Linked DNA regions of Tamandua tetradactyla. The protein of the gene in region 2 interacts with the protein of the main gene of each other region in a biochemical or structural test. Links are inferred from orthologs where the notes say so. Each region holds a gene or a part of one and is shown on either strand. Other genes may lie near its edges. The genes, in order: PPP1R7, UBXN2B and PPP1R11.

Region 1 (7,624 bases), on a different chromosome or scaffold from region 2:
TGTGAGGTATCAGAGGTGTGTGTGGGAAATTCCTCTAGTCAAGGATCTTACATAAGAGATGATTTCCATCCAGTCCAGGTAGTCAGTGCTGGGATACTGGGGGTAAGGCCTAAGAGAAGTTCTATCCCAGACTGAGGTGAGGGAGTTAAGAAAGGCTTCTCAAAGGAGCTAAAGTCTGAGGTGGGAATTGAAGGACAAGCGGAGGAGATTAGTTAAGCGTAGTCCAGCCCAGAACTGAGGATGAGCATTGTCTACTGGGTGATGTTCTGGTGTAGCTGAGCCCAGGACCAGATGGGAGGAGTGCTGAGAGGTTAAGAAGGCAGGTGGAGTGAAATCTGTTCCTCTACCCTGAGAGCAGCAGACAGGGTCTGAAGCATGAGAAAGCTGAATCAGGACATAAGAAAAGGACTTTGGGATACTGTGAAAAAGGGTTGGCAAACTGGGGCAATGAAATCTAGCTTGGCAAAGACCTGAACTAAGGGGTTGGCAGTGGAGGTGGAAGAAGTATTGGAGATTTGGAGCTACTGAAGAGGTAGAGGAATCAGAACTGGTTGACTTTTTGAACATGGGTTGGAGTGGGAGAGAGAGAAAAGCCTGTTTCTTTTATTTGGGCAAGAAGGGAATTGGCATTGCCATTTACCAAGCCATACAATGGTAGAAGAGAGAGCAGGAACAGGCCGAGGAGTTGGGAAGGAGGGAGAATATGAGGAGTTCATACTACGCTCATATTCTCCCTCCTTCCCAACTCCTCAGCCTGTTCAGTGCTTAAAAAAATTCCATGGTATCAAAATCCACCACTCTTATCATGTCCTCCTGAAGTCCCCCATGAGGGCCTCTCACCAGCCTCATGGGCCATGGCTCATCCTCATCCAACGACTGTTATCCTGGTCAAATTTTGCTCCAAATAGTCCGTGTTCTTTTGTTCCTTTTCCTTTGTGTAGTTTCCTTGGTCTGAAATGATCCTTTTTTCTCCCTATACCCAATCGGTTGACTTGTAGTTATCCTTCACAGTCCAGGTTCAAACTGACCTTGGCTGTGCACCCTTCACCATCCCACGGGCAAGCAAGTCCTGGCTCCCTTTCCCCCACGCCCACTCCCTAGCTCTGCTTTCTTCCTCCCTAGCATGTATCACCGGGGGTGGGGTGTAGTGATTGTCTCACTAAACCAGCAGAACCAAAAGCACAAAAGCATTCAAAAGCCTAGCTGGCTCACCAACTGGTAATATGTATACGTGCATACTTTTTTATTTTTAGAAAAATGAAAGTGGAGGAGGAAAGTTGAATTTAGCCTTCTTTCCGGACCCACGAAAACCCTGGAAACAGACTTCTATAGCTGTTTCTATAACGGTTTCTCGGCAATTTTTATAACTTAATCTTTTGACTCCTCGCCTCATTGTCATTCCTTTTCCACAATCCCTTCGCTCTTAAGAGAGGACCTTTCTCCGCCCCGGCCACATTAACAAAATAAGCAAACTCTAAGAGGTTACACAGCGCCCGGGGCCTCAGTTCCTTCATCAGCAAATCGCCAATCGCTGTCCGCATGTCAATTTCCGAGGTTCTGAGGATGTCTCCAACTGGACCAGAAACGCAGCGGAGCTTCGGGAGCCCCCACGTTCCCTAGAATCCCCACCCACCAGCCATGGACTCTCGCCGTCGCCCTCCCTTCCCTTCGGGTCTGTCCGGAGCCTTCGGAGCCTCCCGAAACTGCCCAGCCGCTGTAGACCCCCGGCCCGGGCTATACCGTCTCTGGAGCCTGCCCCGCTCAGCCGAGCCCCAGCCGGCAGAGGTCAGGAGGCCGCGGCAGGGCCCAGGCCGCCGCCGGAGGTAGGACGCCGAGTTTCTCTCGGGGAAAGGGCAATGCCGACCCGCTGCTACCCCCACCGGCTGGGGCTCTTCAGCCGCCACCCCGCAGGAGCAACTCACCTTCCATCATCTCCTGCGACTGTTGCTGCCCTGCGCCGCGTTCCGACGCCATGTTGGCTGCTCGTCCCCTTTCCGGAATTAGTCGCCTCAGATCCCCCAGCCAATCAGGACTCCCATCGCCGAGGCTACGCAACCAATGGACTCGCCGCGCAAAGGCTTGCACCAGACGCGCCTGCGCAGAAGCAGCGCCTCATGGAAGTTGTAGTTCGCCCGCGACGTTGCGCCCCTTCTTACCCTCCGGCGCCGCCTGTTGCACCTCTCCGGGGCAGGTAACCTCTGGAAGCAGAGCCAAGACCAGCAAGAGGCTGGCAAAGAGAGGAGGTGGAGTCGAGGCGGGCGCGCGGAGCCGTAGCTGCGGGCAAATGGCAAGGGCGTCGAGGCAGGCTGGAGGAGAATCGGGAAAATGCCCTGGCTTGTGGGGTCATGTCTTTCATTATCCCGACTGTAGAGGCGTAAAGGACTGCGGCCGCGCGAATCTTCGGGATGGCGAAGTGCGTCCCAGCATCTCACAGCCTCACTGGCCGCGTTTGTAGAATGGACCCAGTGGACGAGTGCAACTTACTCCTGGCATTATCGCGCGGATTAAACCACGCCTCTTGTGAACGCGCTTCGTGGGGCAGCTGGACAGGGGGTAGCAGGACAGGTGGGCAGCAGGACGGGACGGCAGGCGGGCCATTCCTAACGGCGCCGCAGTTTCCGTCTGCCGCTCCGAGCCTCCAGTTTGGGGGGGTTGAAAAAGCGTGAGCGGCAGACGGTCCGTCGCCCTCCCCGCTCACGAAGGGGCTGCCCCGCGTGGCGAGTCCTTCGGACTGGGCCGCCAAGAGTCGACCCCGAGTCGATCACGCTTCTCGATCAGGAATGCTGAAGAAAACGTCCAGGACCCGGACTGTCCGCGGCTTTATGTCTCTTTTGGCTCCTTCGCACTGCCGTAGAGCACGTCCGGTGCGTCCCTAGCAACCGTTAAGCGCGGGCTTCAAGCCTTGGGCCTGCGGAGTCCGGCCCACTGGTTCCAGTGGTTGGCCGGCGGAACCGGTCACTCGGCGCGAGTCTCTATGCGATTGGCCCATGCGGCTGGAAGCGAGGGTCCGCTCCCACCCTGCGGGGTATTGCGAGCTCTGTAGCGGCGACTCTCGCAGGCCCCAGGTGAGGAACGTGCGCTCGGGAGAACGGGTCCTGCTCCGCGGCCTCTCGGGGTCTGGCGGGCCTGGGCTGAGGGGCGCGGGCCTGCGAGGGTCCGCTGTCGTCCTGCGCCGCCGCCGCGCGCCCCTCGCCGATCCTCGGGCGAGGGGCACCTAAACGTCGACGCCCTGCGCCTGTGGCCCTCGGGCCGGCTCCTCCCTAGTGCCCGGGAGGCCGTACCGTGGTTTGACCGTGCGGTGCCACTTCGGGGCCTTTCCAGCTCCCGACCTGGCCGGATGGGGCGGTCCAGGAGAGCTCGGTTCACCTCGCTTTAGTTTGGTTTATCTGCTTTATTTCCTCACTGCCTGTCCTGCAGCTAGAAGCTAAGCTCGAGCACTTGAGACCTCGTCTTCGTCCCAGCTGCTTTCCAGCATCCAGGACGGTGCTTGGCACTCAGGGGCTTTGTTACCAACTGCGCGTGGGATGAATGAATGAGCTGGAGTGCGCATGCCCGCTGCTTCCCGCCGCGGCCACTGGGGTGCTCCCCTCTCCTTCCGGACTTTATCCTTACCTTTCTGTAAATTTAAGAAGCTGTAGATAACAGAAAAATCATTCAGAAAACACAGAGTGCCCATATGCCCCACTTTTATTAATGCCTTGCATTGACGTGGCACCTTTGTTACAATTGATGAAACAATATTATAATTGTAGTATTAACGATACTCAATAATTTTCATTAGGATTCGCTGTGTTGTACAGTCCTGTGTGTGTGCTTTTTTTAAAAAAATTCTACAACATATTTAACCTAAAATTTCCCTTTTTAACCACATTAGAATATATAATTACGTTCACAACATTATGCTACCATCACCCCAGATAGAAACTCTGAACAATAAAGCATTAGCTCTCCCACCGCGACCCCTGGTAACCTGCATTCTAGTTTCTGAGTCTGATTGTGCTTTTTCTAATTATTACACATCAGTGAGCTCATACAGTATTTGTCTTTGTGTGTTAGCCTTTTTTCCCTCCATGTGAAGTCTTCAAGGTTTATTCCTGCTGTCTCATGTTTCTTCTTCGCCAGTTTTTCTTTTCCCAGAGAATTGGAGTCACCGCAACTGGAATCTTAGAAATAGTCTTGACTCCTTTCTTTCCCTTACTTTCCATTCTCCTCAAAATCCAGCTCAGTTTCCACTTAATTGGTTTCCTTCTCTCTCCATCTTTCTGTCCTTGTTAGTGTAGGATCGCCTATTCTCTTACCCTGATGGATGTGACCTGTCTCCTTGTCCCCAGTCTTCAGGATAAAATCCAGACTGCTGGAGCTGGCACAGAAAGAGCTTGGAGCATGCTGGTTTCTCCAGGCCAGTCTTAACCTTCTTTTCTGTGTCCTGATTCCTCCCCAGGGGTGGTAGGAAAGTCATTGCTGTACTGGTTCCTCTACTTGGAAGGCTTTAAGGCTTTTTCACTGCACTCTGCTTGGCTCGGTTCTGCCAGTGAGTACCTCCCCCAGGAAGCCTTTGCTGACATTTCCCATCGTGGCAGCTATCCTTCTCTGTGTTATTAGGATGCTTTGATCCAAGAAAACAGAAGCACAGATGCAGGATGGCTATGAGGAGTGAGGAATGATACTAGTGGGTCTTAGGGTGCTTGAGCCAGTGGCTCAGAATTTTCCAGGACTAGAATCCTGGCCTTTCTCTGTTCTGTGCTCACCATGTTGGCCCCATCCCAAGGTTCTGCTCTTGGTTGCTCAGCAGTGGTGGGAGCACCTGGAATTATGTGCTTCCTACCTTAGGTTCTAGTAGGAGAGAGGAAATTGCTTCCAGAAGTTTCCCTGGAAGAGCAAGGAGGACTTTCCCAGAAGTGCCCTGCAAACTTCTCCTTGTTTTTATTTGGTCTAAATTAGGTTTACTTGCTTCTTCAGGAATCAGAACTAGCTATGGGCATAGGTTTATCCTGAGGCACCTTCAGGAGCTGATACAAAAATCTTCTAAAAATGGGAGGTGTAGACTTATATGTGTTTCTGGTTAGCACTGGAGTTAACCATTTCAGAAAACCCAAGGACCCCCTAAGGTGGCATGAAGCCAAGGACTGCTCTGAGAGGGACATTGTGGTGCAGTCTTCTCCCTTACTGCCCCCCCCCCCCCATATCAGTGTTAGTTACAGCTTTCCTCCCTGTTTACCATAGTAACACTGTAACTTTCAGGAATATAATTAAACTTCCACTTCTTGATTTATCAACTTTGACAGTTTATTGATGTCCTCTGTGAAAGACAAAAAAATGCATGCACTTACCCTTTCTTCACCTTCCCTCTTCTCCTATTTTTGTTATATTTTTATTTTTACAAAGTAAAATTTGAAAAGATTTACAATGTATTCTGAAAGGTTATATTATCATTTTTATACATAAAGCTTTGTAAGATTTTCCATGTATTCTGAGGAGTTATAATTTTTACAGAGTAAAGCTTTACTTTACATATACAATGTTTTCTGAAGAGTTAGGTTAACTGTTTTTACACAGTGAAGGTTTGAAAGGTGTACCATGCACTCTGAATCTGTAATGATGTCTTCTGTGTTTTGTCTATAGATTGGTTCTAGAAGTAAAAAGCTACTTCTACGATCATGCCATTGCTATCTATTATAGAAATAATTTGTCAGTTAGATGCTTAGAGAAGAAAATATAAACCTGTGAGATTTAAGTGTTGCTACTTGAAGCAAAGATAGTTTATTATTCAATTATTTCTAGCTCCCTACATATCTTTTGGTTCATACACAGCTATCGTTTTCCAGGATCCAAGCTGGATGTGTGTGTGTATTTAATGTAATTTTTAGTATGTGCTAATCAAGTCATATGAAAGAATAAATGTAACATCAGTCACATTCATTACAATAAAGTGCGCCCATTTGAATCCACTACTTACGTAGAGAACTGGAAGCCCCTGTGCCCCAGTGCCCCCTCCCTGCTTCACCTCTCCGAGGAAACCAACTGTCTCAAGTCAGTGTTTATCAGTCTCTTGTTTAAGACAGTTTCATCACATATGTAGATATGGCTAAATAATATATTTTAGATGGGCTTTTGGATTTTATAAAAAGGGAATCCTATTGTTGATAGTCTTTTGTGACTTGACTTTTTTTTTTCGTTCTATTGCTAACATTTATCCACATTGTGGGTAATTTATTTCCACTGTTATAATTCATGGTGTGAATATACCAGAATTTTACATCTGTTTTTCCATTGGTTCCCTTTTTGCTGTTGTGAGTCATGCTTCTTTGAACATTCTTGTGTGTGTGTCTTGCTACATTCATGAAAGAATTTCTCTAGGATGGAAATCTAGGAGTGGAAAATGCTGGGTCAGAGTAGGCCAAGATTTAACTAAAATTGTTTTCCAAAGAGCTTTTATCAGTTAATTAGAGCTCCTGTTGATCCACATCCTTCAACATTTGGTATTAATAGATTTGTTGATTTTTGCTGATTTAGTGGGTATAAGTTGCCCTGGTTATGCTAATGAAGTTCAGCCTCTTCTCCTAGGGTTATTGACCACTAGTTTTCCTCTTCTGTGAACTCTTGTCCCTAGCCTTTGCCCATTTTTCTGTTGGACTATGTGTCACTTAAGTTTTTTAAAAATCTTATTTATTTACTTAAAAAATATTCTGGACTTAATCGTCTGTTGATTATATATATGGTGAATATCCTTTCTCAAATTGTGGCTTGTCATTTCATTTTCTTTATGGTAGAACAGACATTCTTAATTTTAATATGGTTAATTTATCAATCACAGAGCTTTTTGTGTCTTGTTTAAGAATTTTTTTCCCTACTCCAAAGTCTTAAAGATGACTTATTTTATTGTCTTCTAAAAGTTTAGTATTTTGAATTTCACAGATTAAATCTTTTATTAGGCTCTGGGCTTTGGTTCTGCTTCGGGTGTGTTAATAGATCTGCTTTCCCAGCTTCCATTTGGATAAAAAGTTGTCACAATATCATCAACGGAACAGCCTGTGTTCCTTCAGTGATATGTAGTGCTTCCCCAGTCATGATAAATAAGTGTTCATAGAGGCAAGAGTGTGTTGCTGGGCTTCCCATTTATTTCTGTGATGTACTGGTTTATTCCTGCTCAGTCTTGCCAACGGAGTAACTACAGCTTTATGTTGAGTTTTCCTGTCTGGTGGGCTCAGGCCCACCTCCTTCTCCATCCTCATTGTTCATTTATAGTGGTCTGAAATCTGTGCGTTTTTTTCCTGTATTATTATTGAAAAGTGTTCATTCTTCTCTCTTCAAATGGTTTCTCCTCTCCATTTTTCTCTCCAATTAGGTGTTTATTAGATCGTCTTAGACTGTCTGTTAACTTCTCCCTGACATATTTTTTTCTCCTTGTTTCTCTGTGTTTTATTCTGGATTATCTATTCAAAAAAATCTTCCAGTTCACAAATTTTCTCTTCAGCTATGACTAATTGTCAGTTTTAACCATTCACTGATAATTCTATTTTTAAAAAATCAGTTTTATTGAGGCATAATTTGCTCGCAACAAAATGTACCGTATTAAGTATAGAGTGCAGTGAGTTTTGAGAAATGGGTCCACCCATATCACTAC
Region 2 (7,018 bases):
TTCTGTGGATGCGGAGGGGCAGGTCATGCAGGAGTGCACCCGGAGTGCACCCGGAGTATGGGGGTTGTGGGTATCAGGGTGCAGAGGTCAGGGTGTAGGGGTGTGGGTCACGGGGACAGGGGTCTGGGGTAGGGTGGGTGGGGCAGTGGTATGATGGGGGGGTGCGGCTGGGATGTGGATGTGATTGTGCACAGGAGCAGGGTGCAGGTGTGCAGGACATGGAATGATGGGGAGGAGTGTAGGTGGGGGTCAGAAGGGGCATGTGCGGGTCGTGGAGTACGTGTATCTGAGGTGGGATGTGGGTGTGGCACGAATTGCTCCTGAGAACCTAGGAGGGGGTGTACCAATGCGGATGTACGTGGAGGCGGTGCACTAGTATACAGGTCATTGGGGATGGCAGGGCATCCTTTTGCAGCTTGTGTGGGGGCAGGTGCAGTTGTGCAGGTGTGGGGACATTGGAGTGCAGGTGTGTGCATTTGCCAGGCTGGGGGTAGGGCACATGTGAGTGCATGAACGTGGCACAGAGGGAGGGGGCCATGGCAGGGATGTACATGTACAACGGACTGGGGGTGGTATGACAGATGTGCAGAGTGGCTACGTGGGTTGGGGGGCAGGTGATAGGCAGGGCGTGAGTGTGTGCATATGCATGGTGGGGGGGCAGGGGTGAATGTGTGCATACGGTGAGGATGTGTGGGTTCAGGGGATAGCAGGGTTCAGGTGCGTGGGGTGCGGTGAGGGGGTAGGGGAGCATGGCTTGCGGGGTTGGGTGGCGTGCATGGGAACAGTGTGCTCAGGGAACGTAGCTTGGCTTACTTCCTAGTCCCCGTCTCCCTGTCAGGCACTCCTGAGGGCTCCAGGCCTCAGTTTCGAAAGGGGCACATTAGGCTCTTTGCATTAGCTGGATGGTCTTTGGTTCTCTGAGTCTCAATTCCTCAGCTTTTTCAACCAGGGGCCCCCTATGTGGTACAGAAAACCCTGTCAGGTCACTTGCATCCTGTCGCTGTCCTGGTTGTTTTTCTGTCACTTCTCTAGCTGTTCCTTGAAGAAGGGGTGAATTTGACCTATTCTTTCCCGGCATATTAAAATCTAAAGGAAAGATTACAAATAAATACTGTATACCAAATCACATTTCATAAAGTAACCAGTTACCTCCTTACTAAGGCACACTGTAGTTAGGACATGAAACAAAAAAATCCCTACCTCCTAATTTATGGTGGAAACAAAACATTCTTACAATTAACACATATAAGAATACATCCACTGGATTAAGTCATTAAAGTCAGTAATCAATCTGTCAGGTATCAGGTGGTCATTTAACAAGCTATATGTATTTTCACATGAAAAGAAAAAATAGATTTAAATTAGAGGAAAAGGATATTAAGTTACTCAGTTCTAATTTTAAGGGCATTAGAATGAAAAAGTCAGTGAAAGCTACAGTTGATTTCTTCCCTTAAGGGAAAAGGAACCAAACACTTATCAAACATGGGGACTGTGTACAGGCACTTTACAAACATTTTAAAATTATTTACAACACCAACACCAATATCACTCCCTTTACAAATGAAGACCCTGAGGATCAAAGTTAAAATATTTTCCTTAACTTCACACAACCATTAGACGGCAAGACCAAAATTCAGTCTGACCCATAAACTCCGTTTCTTCCCAATACCTCATTCTACCTTTTTAGTGATGTTGGTCTATAACAGAAAAGACGAGGTAGAGAATAGCTTCCTTTTTCTTGATTCTGCTTATTACTACAGAATTAACTTATGGTGACTGTAAATGGGATTATTCTACACTTGGTTCCTCTCCTGGACAACATTCTCTAAACTTAAACTGATCTCTCTATTTTCCAAATTCCTCATTTTAGGCACTGCTTATTTTAGTACTCACTCTCCATCTTGAAATGTTAAGTTAAATGTATCATATCCTATTTCTCAAAAAAAATCTGGCTTCCTAAAGGTAGAAGTACATTTTAATTTTTTTATCTATCATTCATAGATATTTTATACATTGACTGTGGATTTATATTTGCAGTACCCAGAGCTAAGCAATAGTTCCTTATTTATGTGGCCAGACAGTCAAGAGATGCTTGCTTAGAGAAGTAGGTGTGATTATAAAGAAACAGAACTTGTTTACCTAGACAGTGGATTCCATCTCCTTTATTTATAATTACAGCTTCTTATAGATGTTTATTTGGATTTATCTATGATCTTATAAGGAGATGGGAAAAAAGCTTAAAATAAGAAAAACGGTGTCAGCATTTGGTAAAGCAGTACGTGGTAAACTCATATTTTAGCTAACTAAATGCCTGTGTCCTACAATGTTATAAAGTTTTATTTCTCCGTTTCTTATGTGCAATGTATTCTAGACTGTAACTTCTTTTTTTTTTTTTTGCATGGGCAGGCACCGGGAATCGAACCCGAGTCTCCAGCATGGCAGAAGAGAACTTTGCCTGCTGAGCCACCGTGAACTACCCTAGACTGTAACTTTTAAAACTAGGTTGTACAGCAATAGCATGACACGCTTTAGCACCGCCCTTTCAAAGAGAAATGCAAGGGTACCTTTTTTTTTTTTTTTAAATGTATCAGTAATCAAGTAAAAAACAACATCTGAAACAAGAAAGGAGAAACCACTGCATGCGTTTTTAATGTTTCAGCGCCCGCTGACTTCTACAGCCACAGTAAAGCTTCCTTCTGAGGTAAATCACAGGAAGCCGCTCAACAGACACCACAAACATGCCATTCAAGATTAGGTGGCTTCTGAGTTTAACCAAATGGTAAGAATGGGTTGAGGCGCACGAGACCCGGGCATCCGTACACTTGTCTCCACGAATCCCGCGGACTGTGCACCACTCGGGCAAACCCGCAGGCGCGCGGTCTGGAACTGCTCAGCCGCGGCCAGGGGCGGCTTCCGACCCACACCGCCGTCCCTGCCCCGCCCGCTCCCGGTCGCCGCCGCCGCCGCACCTGCAGGTCCCGGGCGCTCGGGGGCCGCGGCCCTGAGGACCTTCGCTCTCCTTCGCCGCGCTCAGTGCCGCCGCCCTCCGCCATCTTCCGCCCGGTCCCGGGCGCTTCCGCCGACGCGCCTCCCGGGGACTTCCGGGCGGGTTGCCGGGCAACGGTGGAGCGAGGGCAGAGCCGCGCGAGGCCCTGGGCGCGCCCACCCGCCCGGCTGCCGGGTCGCTTGGCGCCCGCGCTGACTTTTCCCTCTTCTTCCTTAAGAGGGGTGGGCTAGGGACGAGTTTTCGTCTGCTGCACGCTAGGTCTTGGAGGCACTGCTTCTGGTCTCTAGCGCAGCCTGGGCTCGCGGGCTTATTTACCTCAAAAGGGACACCTCCGGGCGGCCGTGACAGCTACAGATGGTCAGGCCTTTCATTCGCTTAGTTTGATTTGAACTCCTCTTTTATGCCGCTACTGCTATGCCCGGAGGATGCCAGTAAAAAGACAAAATGCTAGTCATTATAGAACTCTCAGTCTAGCGGGGAAAAGACAGGTGAAAACACGTGTAGGAGATCGCTGTACTGCAAGTTCAGGTAGAGAGGAAATGTCAAGTTGTAGTAGTTTGAGGAGTGACAGGGCAGTGACGGCTACGTTTTCAGTGTGTTTGAAGTCAGTGGTGTGCCCGTGTTTTAAGCTGAAGTCTTGTGAGAGCCTATTAAAGTTTTTGGGAAATTTGCAAGCCGGTTGTTAAACACCGCCATTATTAAAAACTAAATTATATAAACTTACAATGAAATGATATTGAAACAAAGGTAATAAATGCCCCAAACTCATCACTTTCTAATTATTTTAATACATTTTACTATCATCTATGCTCTTGAGATATTATATAATTTTGTGCACTAACTTTTTTATGTAATCTATATTTTTTTGTTAAAGAAGTTGTACATTTACCCAAAACCATGCAGAAAACCCAGAGTTTCCATATACCCCATCAACAACACCACACCTCGCATTAGTGTGGTAACTTTGTTATAATTGATGAAAGAATATTATTATAATTGGGCAATTATCTAGCATCCATAATTTACATTAGAACACACTGTGCTGTACAGTCCTCTTTTTCAAAACATTTTTTGCAACTTAAAATTTCCCCCCTTTTTTAAAGAACCATATTCAACTGTATAATTCAGTGCTGTTTATCATGTTCACAGTGTTGTGCTATCATCACCACCATCTATTACCAAAATTTTCTGGTCACTCCAAACAGAAATACTGGTTCATTTAAGGGTTAACTCCCCATTCTCTACACCCACCAGCCCCTGGTAGCCTGTATTCTAGTTTCTGACTCTGTAAATTTGCAAATTATAATTATTTCAGATCATTGAAATAACATATTTGTCCTTTTGCATCTGGCTCACTTCACTCGACATTGTGTCTTCCAGGTTCATCCATATTGCCATGCGTATCATTCCTTTTCATGGCTGAATAGTATTCCAGTGTATGAATATACCGTATTTTGTTTATCCTATAATTGTACATTTTTGCACACCTCTTTCCAGCTTTTGGCTCAGTGATATCATGTTGGTGGCTTGAAATAGATCATTTGGAAGTACTTACATCACATATTAGAAAATACCACAAATAAGAGCTCGATATATTGCATGTACTTTTAAGCACATGGTGGACAAAATGCTAATAATGCAGAAGAAACTTAAAAGTGTGCAGTGTCTGTAACTATTATAAGGTAAATTGCAAAAAAAGAGGAAACATTCTTTCAATATTTGAAAACTCCTAGTCAGTTCAGGAAATAAGTTGTCACATCAGGTTCTTACACATATTTTTGTTGTTTCACTTTTATCTTGTTAATAGAAACAAAAATATCAACCAACATTCAAGTGGTCCCCTTGAACTCTACTTTTGGCTTGTGATGAAAAAGAAGGTATCTCTATTCATCTTTCTACAAAGAAATCTGAACACAAATGATACTTCATTTGCTCCATTCTCTATTTTATAGGATGAAGGATTTTAAGAATCATGGAATTTATTCTGCCATGAAGATTCCTGCAGAATGGTCTGTCTCATACTCACTTTGATATGCTATTTGTATTGCATCTTGGGGTGCTTAAATTTGAGACCTAATTTTCACATTTTGCTGTACTTGTTTTTTCTTTCCATTAGACTGTGAGATCACAGATATCATGAATCTTATCTCTAGTGCCTTAACATAGGATAATGTGGAGTATAATAGGTACTTTTAATAAATGTCTCAATGAAGAAATGAATGAATGAATTATTTGTGGATCTATGGTTCGAACCTGGGTTTGACTGTCTTCAAAGTCTTTTTCCATTCATGGAAAGTCAAGAAATAACAGCCTAGCCTAACAGAAATCTTTATCAGCTACGGGCAGAACAATGTGTAGCCCATCTATCTTGGACCAATAAACTGTATCCAAATTAAACTTCACGGCCTAAATGAAAACCACGTTTGGGTAGTTTTACTTATGCTGAAACATTACTGAGGCCATCAAGGATCAGAGGCCACGATAAACTATGAAGGCCTTGTTTCATCCTTTAAAACATTTAAATCTCTTTTTAATGATTATAGAATATAAGATATTTCCATTTGGGAATATTCATAGGTTGCATTTGTTATTTCATTTAATCCACAACAACCTTCTTTCTGGGTTAGATATTGTCTTCATTTTACGGAAATATTTGAAGACCAGAGAAATAAAATGACCTTGCGCCTGTCAAGGCTCTCACTGCATTGCACATAGGCTTTTTCATACTATACTTCTACCATTTTCTTTGCCTAGAATGAAGCAGAAATGAGGTATTATTTCAAGATCATTACTTCGAGTGTGATTTTTTGGTAGGTATTTACCAGCTTCCCCAGGTATTTTGGTTACTCCTTACCCATATAACTACCCAAACTTTGTACACAATCCTTTCACAAGCTATTCTAGTTTGCAAGCTGCCAGAATGCGATATGCCAGAAACGGAACAACTTTTAAAAAGGTAAATTTATTAAGTTGCTAGTTTACAGTTCTAAGGTGGTGAAAGTGCCCAAATTAAAGCAAGGCTATAAAAATGTCCAATCTAAGGCATCCAGGGAAAGATACCTTGATTCAAGAAGGCCGATGACGTTCAGGGTTTCTCTCTCAGCTGGAAAAGCACATAGCAAGATCTGCTAGCTTTCTCTTCAACAGCTCCCTGCGACTCTGTCTGTTCTGTTGGTTCTGTTGGCTCTGTTGGCTCTCATGGCTCTAAAGCTTTTTCTAAAAGTTTCCCTCTTAAAGGACTCCCAGTAAGTGACCCTACCTTGGATGGGTGGAGACACATCTCCACGGAAACCAACTAATCAAAAGTTCCCATCCACAATTGGGTGGGTCATGTCTCCATGGAAACAATAAAAAAGATCCCATCCAGATATATGGAATTGAATGAGGATTATAGGACATGGCTTTTCTGGGGGTACATAATAGCTTAAAATCAGCACAGAAGACTTTTTTTTTAGTGTATTATGGTCTGGGTATCACTAGACTGTGAAGCCCTCCAAGAGGAAGGATTATTTTCTGTTCTTTCTATATCTCCAATGCTTAGCCTGTAACAGAAGTTCTGAATACTGAATACTTTTTTTAAATTATAGTTATGCAGTTGGGTATACTTATTTTTGAATGCTTAGTATATTTTAGTTTAAATCTTATACAAAAATTCCTTACTATTTTCTCAAATCCACTTAATCACCAATTTTTCAATTTAAAAGTGCATAGTACATAGGTTGAATTAATACATCTAAATTCCAGTTGGACTTATCAGGAATGTGTGCATTGATCAGTTGCCTAGGCAAGAGTGGGTTACTCTAGCTGGGAGAAGCGGCTGCTGTCCTGAAACAGAAGCAGCCAATAGATTATTGGATCAGCAAGACTGGGGGCTTCACTGCCTGAATTCACATTTACTGATGTGAAATTTTCTCAAATTTAAAAACTTTAACAATTTTTTATCAGTCAACTTAAAGAAAGATGTTAGGTACTGTGGGGATTCACAGATGAATAATCTAGTTTTTGTTCTCA
Region 3 (6,987 bases), on a different chromosome or scaffold from region 2:
ATCTCTTTGCTCCCTCTATTTTCCTTCCACCCCCTGGGGACTCATACCCCTAGGACTATATAGGATCTGTCTCAGAAGCTAAAAGACCAAAGCCTTCGGAGACAGTTGACTCTAATTGACCAGTGTTCAAAGACAACTTTGTCAGAAATCTAGATCACAGAAGAAGGGTGTGGAGAGAGGACATGACTATTTCCTGCTCCATTTTCCATTAGAGGTGAGGATGACAAAGACCTCTCCTAACTCCTTCCTAGTGCATGAGGGGAGTGGGCAGGGAAGGAGACGAAGGGCTAGGAGCCTTGAGGTCTTCCAAAGTTCTCACAGCCCACAGGAATAAGAATCAGGATTATGTAAAAAAAGAAAAAAAAAATTAGTGGAAGAGCTCTAAACAGCATTAAAGCACAGCTGGAGCAAGATTGCCTGGAATCTGACTGGGACTCTGGCAGTGAAAGCCGGGGCTGTTAGAAACCTAATATTTGGGACTCAAGTAGACAATGCAAGGGGCTGAGATAACTGGATCCCAGGACAGGTAGTTTGGCAGTGAGAACGAAGGGAAGGGAATGGGACCAAGATGTCTAGATCTCTTAAGAGGGAAAGATGGATATTGGGAGGAGAAATGAGAGCCAAAGGAACCCAGAAACCTGGGTTCTGGTATAGCAGCAAGAAGAATTCCAGGTTTTCTGTCCACCCCCCTTTCTATCTTCTATCAGGCAGAGGAGAGGGAAAGAGGGGACTGGAGAAGAGATCAAACCATGGGTTTAATCCCCAAGTAGCCACATGAATACATTCAGGGCCAGACAGACACAGGAATAGTGGGGAAGAAAGGAATTTAGTGCTGCATTGGTCCTGGAGGGGGCTGGGACGGGTCAGGAGGCTGGGGAGGGGTGGTAGGGGTCAGTCCCAGAGTTGCACGACGCCGTCCTTTGCGGTGGCCACGGACACAGTGTGCATGACCACAGCCCTCCTCTTCCTCCTCATCGCTCTCTGTGGAGCTCTCGCCAAAGGCCCGAGGTTTCTCGTAAATACAGCAGCCTAAATTTGGAAGTGGAAGGGAGAAAAGTAAAATGCACCATGTCTGCTCCATTCCCACTGGATCTCTGAAAATTCCTACTTATACCACCGCCTCTTCCTACATTTCAGGATCCAGCTTCCCCAGGCTCCCTGGAACTCAGCCACCCAATCCCTTACCCTGGACTCTCCTTTTCCAAAGCCCTATTTCTCCCACATCTGACATTTCTTGCCTTCAGGTCTTGGCACATCCCTTTGCTAGCTTCCTCCCTATCTCTTTTCCTCTAATTTTAACCTTCTCTCCTTGATGTCAGAGAACCACCAAGAAAGTGGCTGGATGGTGACCATCTGGGGGCCTCAGGGAAGCCAGTGGATGTGAGAAGGCAGATTTGCAGAGAGGAGCCAGGATCCCAGGGTTATTGAGGGCCAACAGTTACTCACATTTTGATGAGCGGCGCCCCATATGCTCATTGTCCACAGTGTCGCTTGACCATTCCACCTTTTTCTCTGGCTTCCGTTTCCGAAGTTTGATGGTTAGGCTTCGGTTCTCCTAGAAAGTTAAGAGGGATGGGCTTACCTATCTATTCTACTCCCACTGATTTTTCCCACACCCTCCCAGGGGCCTCCCTTCCCCAGTTCATTCTGGTACTAGAGTCATATACCAGAAAAGGCGAATGCTGGGAGAAAATAAAATAGAACAGGTCTCTGGCATCAGGGAGTTCCCTGAGGATTAGTAAAGCACTATTTCCTGTTCTTGATAACAGCTAGTGTACAGAGAAGACAATTCCTAACCTAGGGAAGGTCCCAGCAAATCTTCAAACGAAAATATAATCCTCGCTGTCTTTCCGTCTTCCTCCCCAAATCATTCTTGGTGGTATTAATACACGAAAAAAATTTTTTAGTCTTCAATGCCTCATCTTTGATCTCCCTTTCTTTTTCCAGACCTTTTATTCTTCTCCGCTTTAAGTAAAGACCTCCATTCTCACCTCCCATTCTCAAGTCCAGCACTCCCCATTTCCTATCAATTTATTTCCTGAAATTCTGGCATCTCTGATAATTATAAACTCTTATTAATCTAGAGTTTATTGTGCCCAATGCCACCTTCTTTCTTTGAGAGCACCTTAATCTCTGCTTTTGCAAAAATACTACTTGTTTGTCCATCTTATATCTATCTCTCCTACCCAACTTCTCAAAATATTATCATCTCCTTTTCTCTGTTCCCTCATTTCTTCCACTTCCTTTTACATTCATTCACTCAACAAATATTTGATAAGTATGCTTCAGGTCAAATTCCCCCACAACTGGCCTCCATCCAGAGTTTCTTAGACTCCACCCAGCCCTAACCCAACCCCCATCCCCAGCACCTCCCTTGCTTTAACCCTCCATTTCCTATTCCTTTATACTTATACACTACCGTCCCTCCAAAGCAGCGTCACCTATATTCTAACTCTAACCCCTTATTACGTGTCCCTTGATTAACCTCCTGCACTGTCACTTCAAATATACCCAATACCTTGCGATTCTCCCAACTCCAGTCCTTCAATCCCACTCATCCCATATCCCCAGGGCCAGCCCCTGGAGCAACTCTCCGACACCTATTCCCTCCTTCCCGATTATCTCCCAGACCCCTAATCAGCACCGCTCCCCCCACTCCCCGCCTTTCTCACGGGCTCAGTTGTCACGGTAACCGTTGTCTCAGTGACGGTCTCACTCAGCCCGGCCCCTGCCTCAGCCATCGCTAAGGCTAAGGAGAGGGAGGAGGGATGGAAGGGGTACAAGACACCCTTCTCTTATTCTGAATCTCTGGGGTCTAAAGAGAATCGGTATCGGATTCAGAGTAGTAGCCAGAATCCTCTGCCTTCTTTATTTCCCCTCCTCCTGGGCCTCCACTTCCCCACCCCCGGGGATAACCTGTCCAACCCCACTTCCGGTTCTCCGCTTCCGGGTGTGACGACTTCTGTAGTTCCTTCTTTCCCCGCACCAGCTGCGTCAGAGCGCAGGCGCTGCCAGACTACTTCCGCCATCATGTGACAGAAACTTGGCGGAAGAAGCGTCACTACGTGTGTGGAAGGGCATTGGTAGTGGTGGTGGTGAAGCATTCAAGAGCGGCATGCGCACGCGCAACAGAGAAACGGCAGAAATGGGCGGTCCAGGAGGGCAGCGACCCACCAGGCGCTTCAGAACTTGGTGGGCTGTGCGCCGAGCCTTATTAGCGGCCAAAGGCTCGTGGAATCGATCGGTACGGTAGCTGAGCTCCCGATCTTTAAACCTGGGGTAGGGGGCGAGATGGAGAAAACTAAGGAGTAATAGTAATTGGCCATACATTGGCCTAGTCCCATTCCTTAACGTTTCGCCTGAGAATTAGGGAAACGGTATCTTGGTCCACTGGAAAACACTTTATTAGAAATCAAGCCATCTCTTGCTTTGTCCCTTGCTTAATGCCTGTAGGTGTTCGGGCAAGGCATTTCATGCAGCTTCACAAAACACGCAGACCCTGCCTTTAGTACCCAGTCTAGTGAAGACAGGGCGCTCAAAACTAAAAAATATAAGGCACTGGGGTATAAAAAAGAAGTAAATATCTGTGAAACTGAATTAAATTGCATATGATCATTTGAACTAACCCTGGGGTGGATATAAGACTAAGAGAAATGATCAGAAATCACAACATGGGGCAATTTGTGCTGCAATAAAAATATATGCACATTCTCAGGAACAAGAAAAAAAGTTTTAAAGAAAGTGAACAGGAAAGGCAGGATTTTAAAGAGAGAGAAGCTTACAAAACCAGAAATGTGTGCACTGAAGGAAATGCAAACGGTTTTGTACTTGCAGGTGTACGCGGCTTGACAAAATAGGTAGTAATTATGTGGAAGGGTCTGCTTTGCTGAGAAACTTGAACTTTATTCAGTAAGTGTTATGAGACAGGGAGAGGCTTAAAAAGTAGGATGAAACATGCACAGATTTATTTCAGATTGTGGGAGTGGGTCAGGGAAGTCACCTGCCAGAACAGTTCAAGTGTACAGTTTGAGAAAGACTGCTCTCCAAGAAAGTCTTTCTCATCTCTCCAAGTTGCTGTAGGGATCAAACAGGATGGTTTATGTTTTAGAGTTCTGAATATATAATGGCCACACAGCTACAAAATAATCAGTTATTAATCTTACCCCTGGGTCACCATTTAAGCAAAGGAAAAGCGGGAATGATGATTCAGACTAAAATTTGAATGTACTTATTGTTCCTGATCTGTTTCCCTTGTAAATTTTTGGTTCAAACTGAAAAAGGAACATACAGGTCAGCATATAGTATGACCCATTTTATATATATACATATATCCACATGTACATATATAATTTGGGTATCTCTGTAGAGTGGTATTCCCCTTGCTTTGTACTTTTTTTCTTTTTACCTTTTTAAGTGTGAAATCTATTCCAAAGAATATATGCATTACATTTATCTCAAGAGCAATTAAAAAAACACAATTACCGCTTAAGTAATTTCTTGTTCACATGTAGTTAAGTATATGCTGGTATCCCTTGGTATCAGAATTTTTTGTTGTCCAAACTAATTTACCAAATAGATTTGATTAAAATTTCAGTTGAATTCTCACAATCCAACACCCATGTTTTGCTTTCCTAAACTCAGTAATCAAATAGATTTGGAAAGTGAGGACTCTAACTATTGCTTTTTTTATATTTAGCATCATTTCTGATTCCAACTTTTTCTTCCCCTTTTTCTTTCTCGTATACTACTGATTTATATTATCTTTTGCAGTTGATATATTTGCTGAAAGGACAAATATTATCTGTTAGCTCACTTAAATTCCTGTTGGAACAAAGCAGATTGTAAATAACATACTCTTAGAGAGAGATACAACTTTAATAAGGAAACTCAACTAGGGATAGGAATGTTCTGAGGACAATGGCAATCTTCACGAGAGGATCTAATAGCCTCTCTGGAAGCAAGACATTACAATCAGAGAGGCTGGACAAGGGATCTAAAGACCCAGTATTCTTCACCTTCTAAGGAAAACAGGGAGGCACTGATCAGTAGCTCAGAAAAAAAATCAAGAGTCTTCCTTCTCCTGGAACCTGTGGAGAAAGAAAATATTTGTTATATTAAACAAAAGAAGAGTTTCTGGCAGTGTAAGATATGATACTCAAAAAGAATCAAAGAAGGCTTGTATTTATGCCACTGTGGAGAACTAGATCTCCTAAACAACCCTCCAATGTGAAGACAACTAAAAATGCTGGGATTAAAAAAATATTTATGCCCATACACACACACAGATACAATGAATTATAACCTTGAAGTTTACAAAGATTTATTCTACAATGCAAAAAGCACTAATCATAACAGGATCTCATTGATGAGATAGCAAGAAAGTAAAGGCAATCTTTGCCTTGGTCAGAAATGATGTAAAACTAGGAATGGAGAAAGGTAAGTTAAACTTGAAGTCCCCTGCTACCTGCTACTGTTTTGAGAGACATGTGGAATGTAAAAAACTAAAGCTAAAACCTACAATGCCTGATAAGAGATCCTTTGCATAAATTTGGGACCTCCACCCCCACCCCCAGAGGGCCTACCCCCCTCTGTGTAAAAGTGAAGAAGAAAAAAATAATTCAACTTTGCAGAAGGGGAATCTAATAGTTTTCATGTAAGTAGAGGAAGAGAAATGTATTCCCTGAGAATTTCTAACCATAAAGTGGCTGCCTTAAATGGTTTTGCAGCTTAAATGAATACTACCTGTGTGGTCGAAAAAACCTGAGCCCAGAATTTATTTAAAGTGATTCCAGCTCTGCAGTGCTCAAGGCACCTGAATAGAGCAAGTACAAATGCTGAGAATTCAGTATTCACCACAGGCCTCAAATAATTCTCATTTGCATAAAGTTTCAAAAATCCTGACCTCAGGCCAAGATGGCAGCTTAGCGAGGTGTGTGATTTAGTTCCTCCTAACAGCTAATAAATAGCCAGGAACAGTACAGAACAACTGCTAGGGCCATTATCAATAAAACAGTAAATAACAAGTGCTGAAGAGGATGTGGAGAAAGAGGCACACTTATATACTTTTGGTGGGAATGTCAAATGTTACAACTGCTGTGGAAGGCAGTGTGGCGGTTCCTTAGAAAGCTAAGTATAGAATTGCCATATGATCTGGCAATACCATTGTGAGGTATCTACTCAGAGGATATGAGGGCAAAGACACAAATGGACATTTGTACATTATAGCAGCATTATTTACAATTGCCAAGAGATGGAAACAGCCCAAATGTCCATCACAGACGAGTGGCTAAACAAGCTGTGGTATATAGATACGATGGAATATTATGGAGCTGTAAGATAGAATAAAGTTATGAAGTATGTAACAACATGGATGGAGCTTAAGAACATTATGCTGAGTTAGATTTGCCAGAAACAAAAGGACAAATACTGTATGGTCTCAATGATATGAACTAACATTAATGAATGAACTTGGATAATTTTAGTTAAGAACAGAGGTCATCAGGAGATAGAAATAGGGTAGATATTAGGTAATTGGAACTGAAGGGATACAGATTGTGCAATGGGACTGATTATAAAAATTCAGAAATGAATAGCACACTACCTAAGTGTAACACAATAATGTCAGAACACTGAATGAAGCTGAATGTGAGAATGATAGAGGGAGGGGCCCTGGGGGCACAAATAAAATCACAAGGAAAGACAGACAATAAAGACTAAGATGGTATAATCCAGAAATGCCTAGAGTGTATAATGATAGTGACTAAATGTACAAATTTAAAACCGTTTTGCATGAGGAAGAGCAAAGGAATGTCAATAATGCAGGGTGTTGAAAATAGACGGTAATTAATATTTTAAAATTTTAACTTATGTGTGAGACTAAAGCAAAATATGTTTATTTGGGGAAATATCTTATCAATCTTATAATAGGAGGCGGTTTCCTAGATGTTACACCCAAAGTATGAGAACTGAAGAAAGAAAGGGAGGGAG

What was found.
Region 1: the proteins of UBXN2B (region 2) and PPP1R7 form a complex in vitro, tested with the Homo sapiens proteins (2 studies listed by BioGRID). The link is inferred for Tamandua tetradactyla from reciprocal best matches to the Homo sapiens genes UBXN2B and PPP1R7.
Region 3: the proteins of UBXN2B (region 2) and PPP1R11 form a complex in vitro, tested with the Homo sapiens proteins (2 studies listed by BioGRID). The link is inferred for Tamandua tetradactyla from reciprocal best matches to the Homo sapiens genes UBXN2B and PPP1R11.

The regions. Positions count from the first base shown.
Region 1 is NC_135329.1:79,627,225-79,634,848, reverse strand, and holds the start of PPP1R7 (protein phosphatase 1 regulatory subunit 7), read right to left. Parts: upstream 3,043-7,624; 5' UTR 1,975-3,042; coding exon 1,923-1,974; intron 1-1,922. UniProt on the Homo sapiens protein: Regulatory subunit of protein phosphatase 1.
Region 2 is NC_135332.1:101,717,536-101,724,553, reverse strand, and holds the start of UBXN2B (UBX domain-containing protein 2B), read right to left. Parts: upstream 3,076-7,018; 5' UTR 3,054-3,075; coding exon 2,970-3,053; intron 1-2,969. UniProt on the Homo sapiens protein: Adapter protein required for Golgi and endoplasmic reticulum biogenesis. Involved in Golgi and endoplasmic reticulum maintenance during interphase and in their reassembly at the end of mitosis.
Region 3 is NC_135331.1:84,560,333-84,567,319, reverse strand, and holds the start of PPP1R11 (E3 ubiquitin-protein ligase PPP1R11), read right to left. Parts: upstream 3,041-6,987; 5' UTR 2,742-3,040; coding exon 2,673-2,741; exon of another isoform or gene 2,525-2,672; intron 1,556-2,524; coding exon 1,447-1,555; intron 1,030-1,446; coding exon 938-1,029; coding exon of another isoform or gene 827-937; exon of another isoform or gene 1-826. Other genes in the region: POLR1H (DNA-directed RNA polymerase I subunit RPA12), read right to left, coding at 5,063-5,087. UniProt on the Homo sapiens protein: Atypical E3 ubiquitin-protein ligase which ubiquitinates TLR2 at 'Lys-754' leading to its degradation by the proteasome.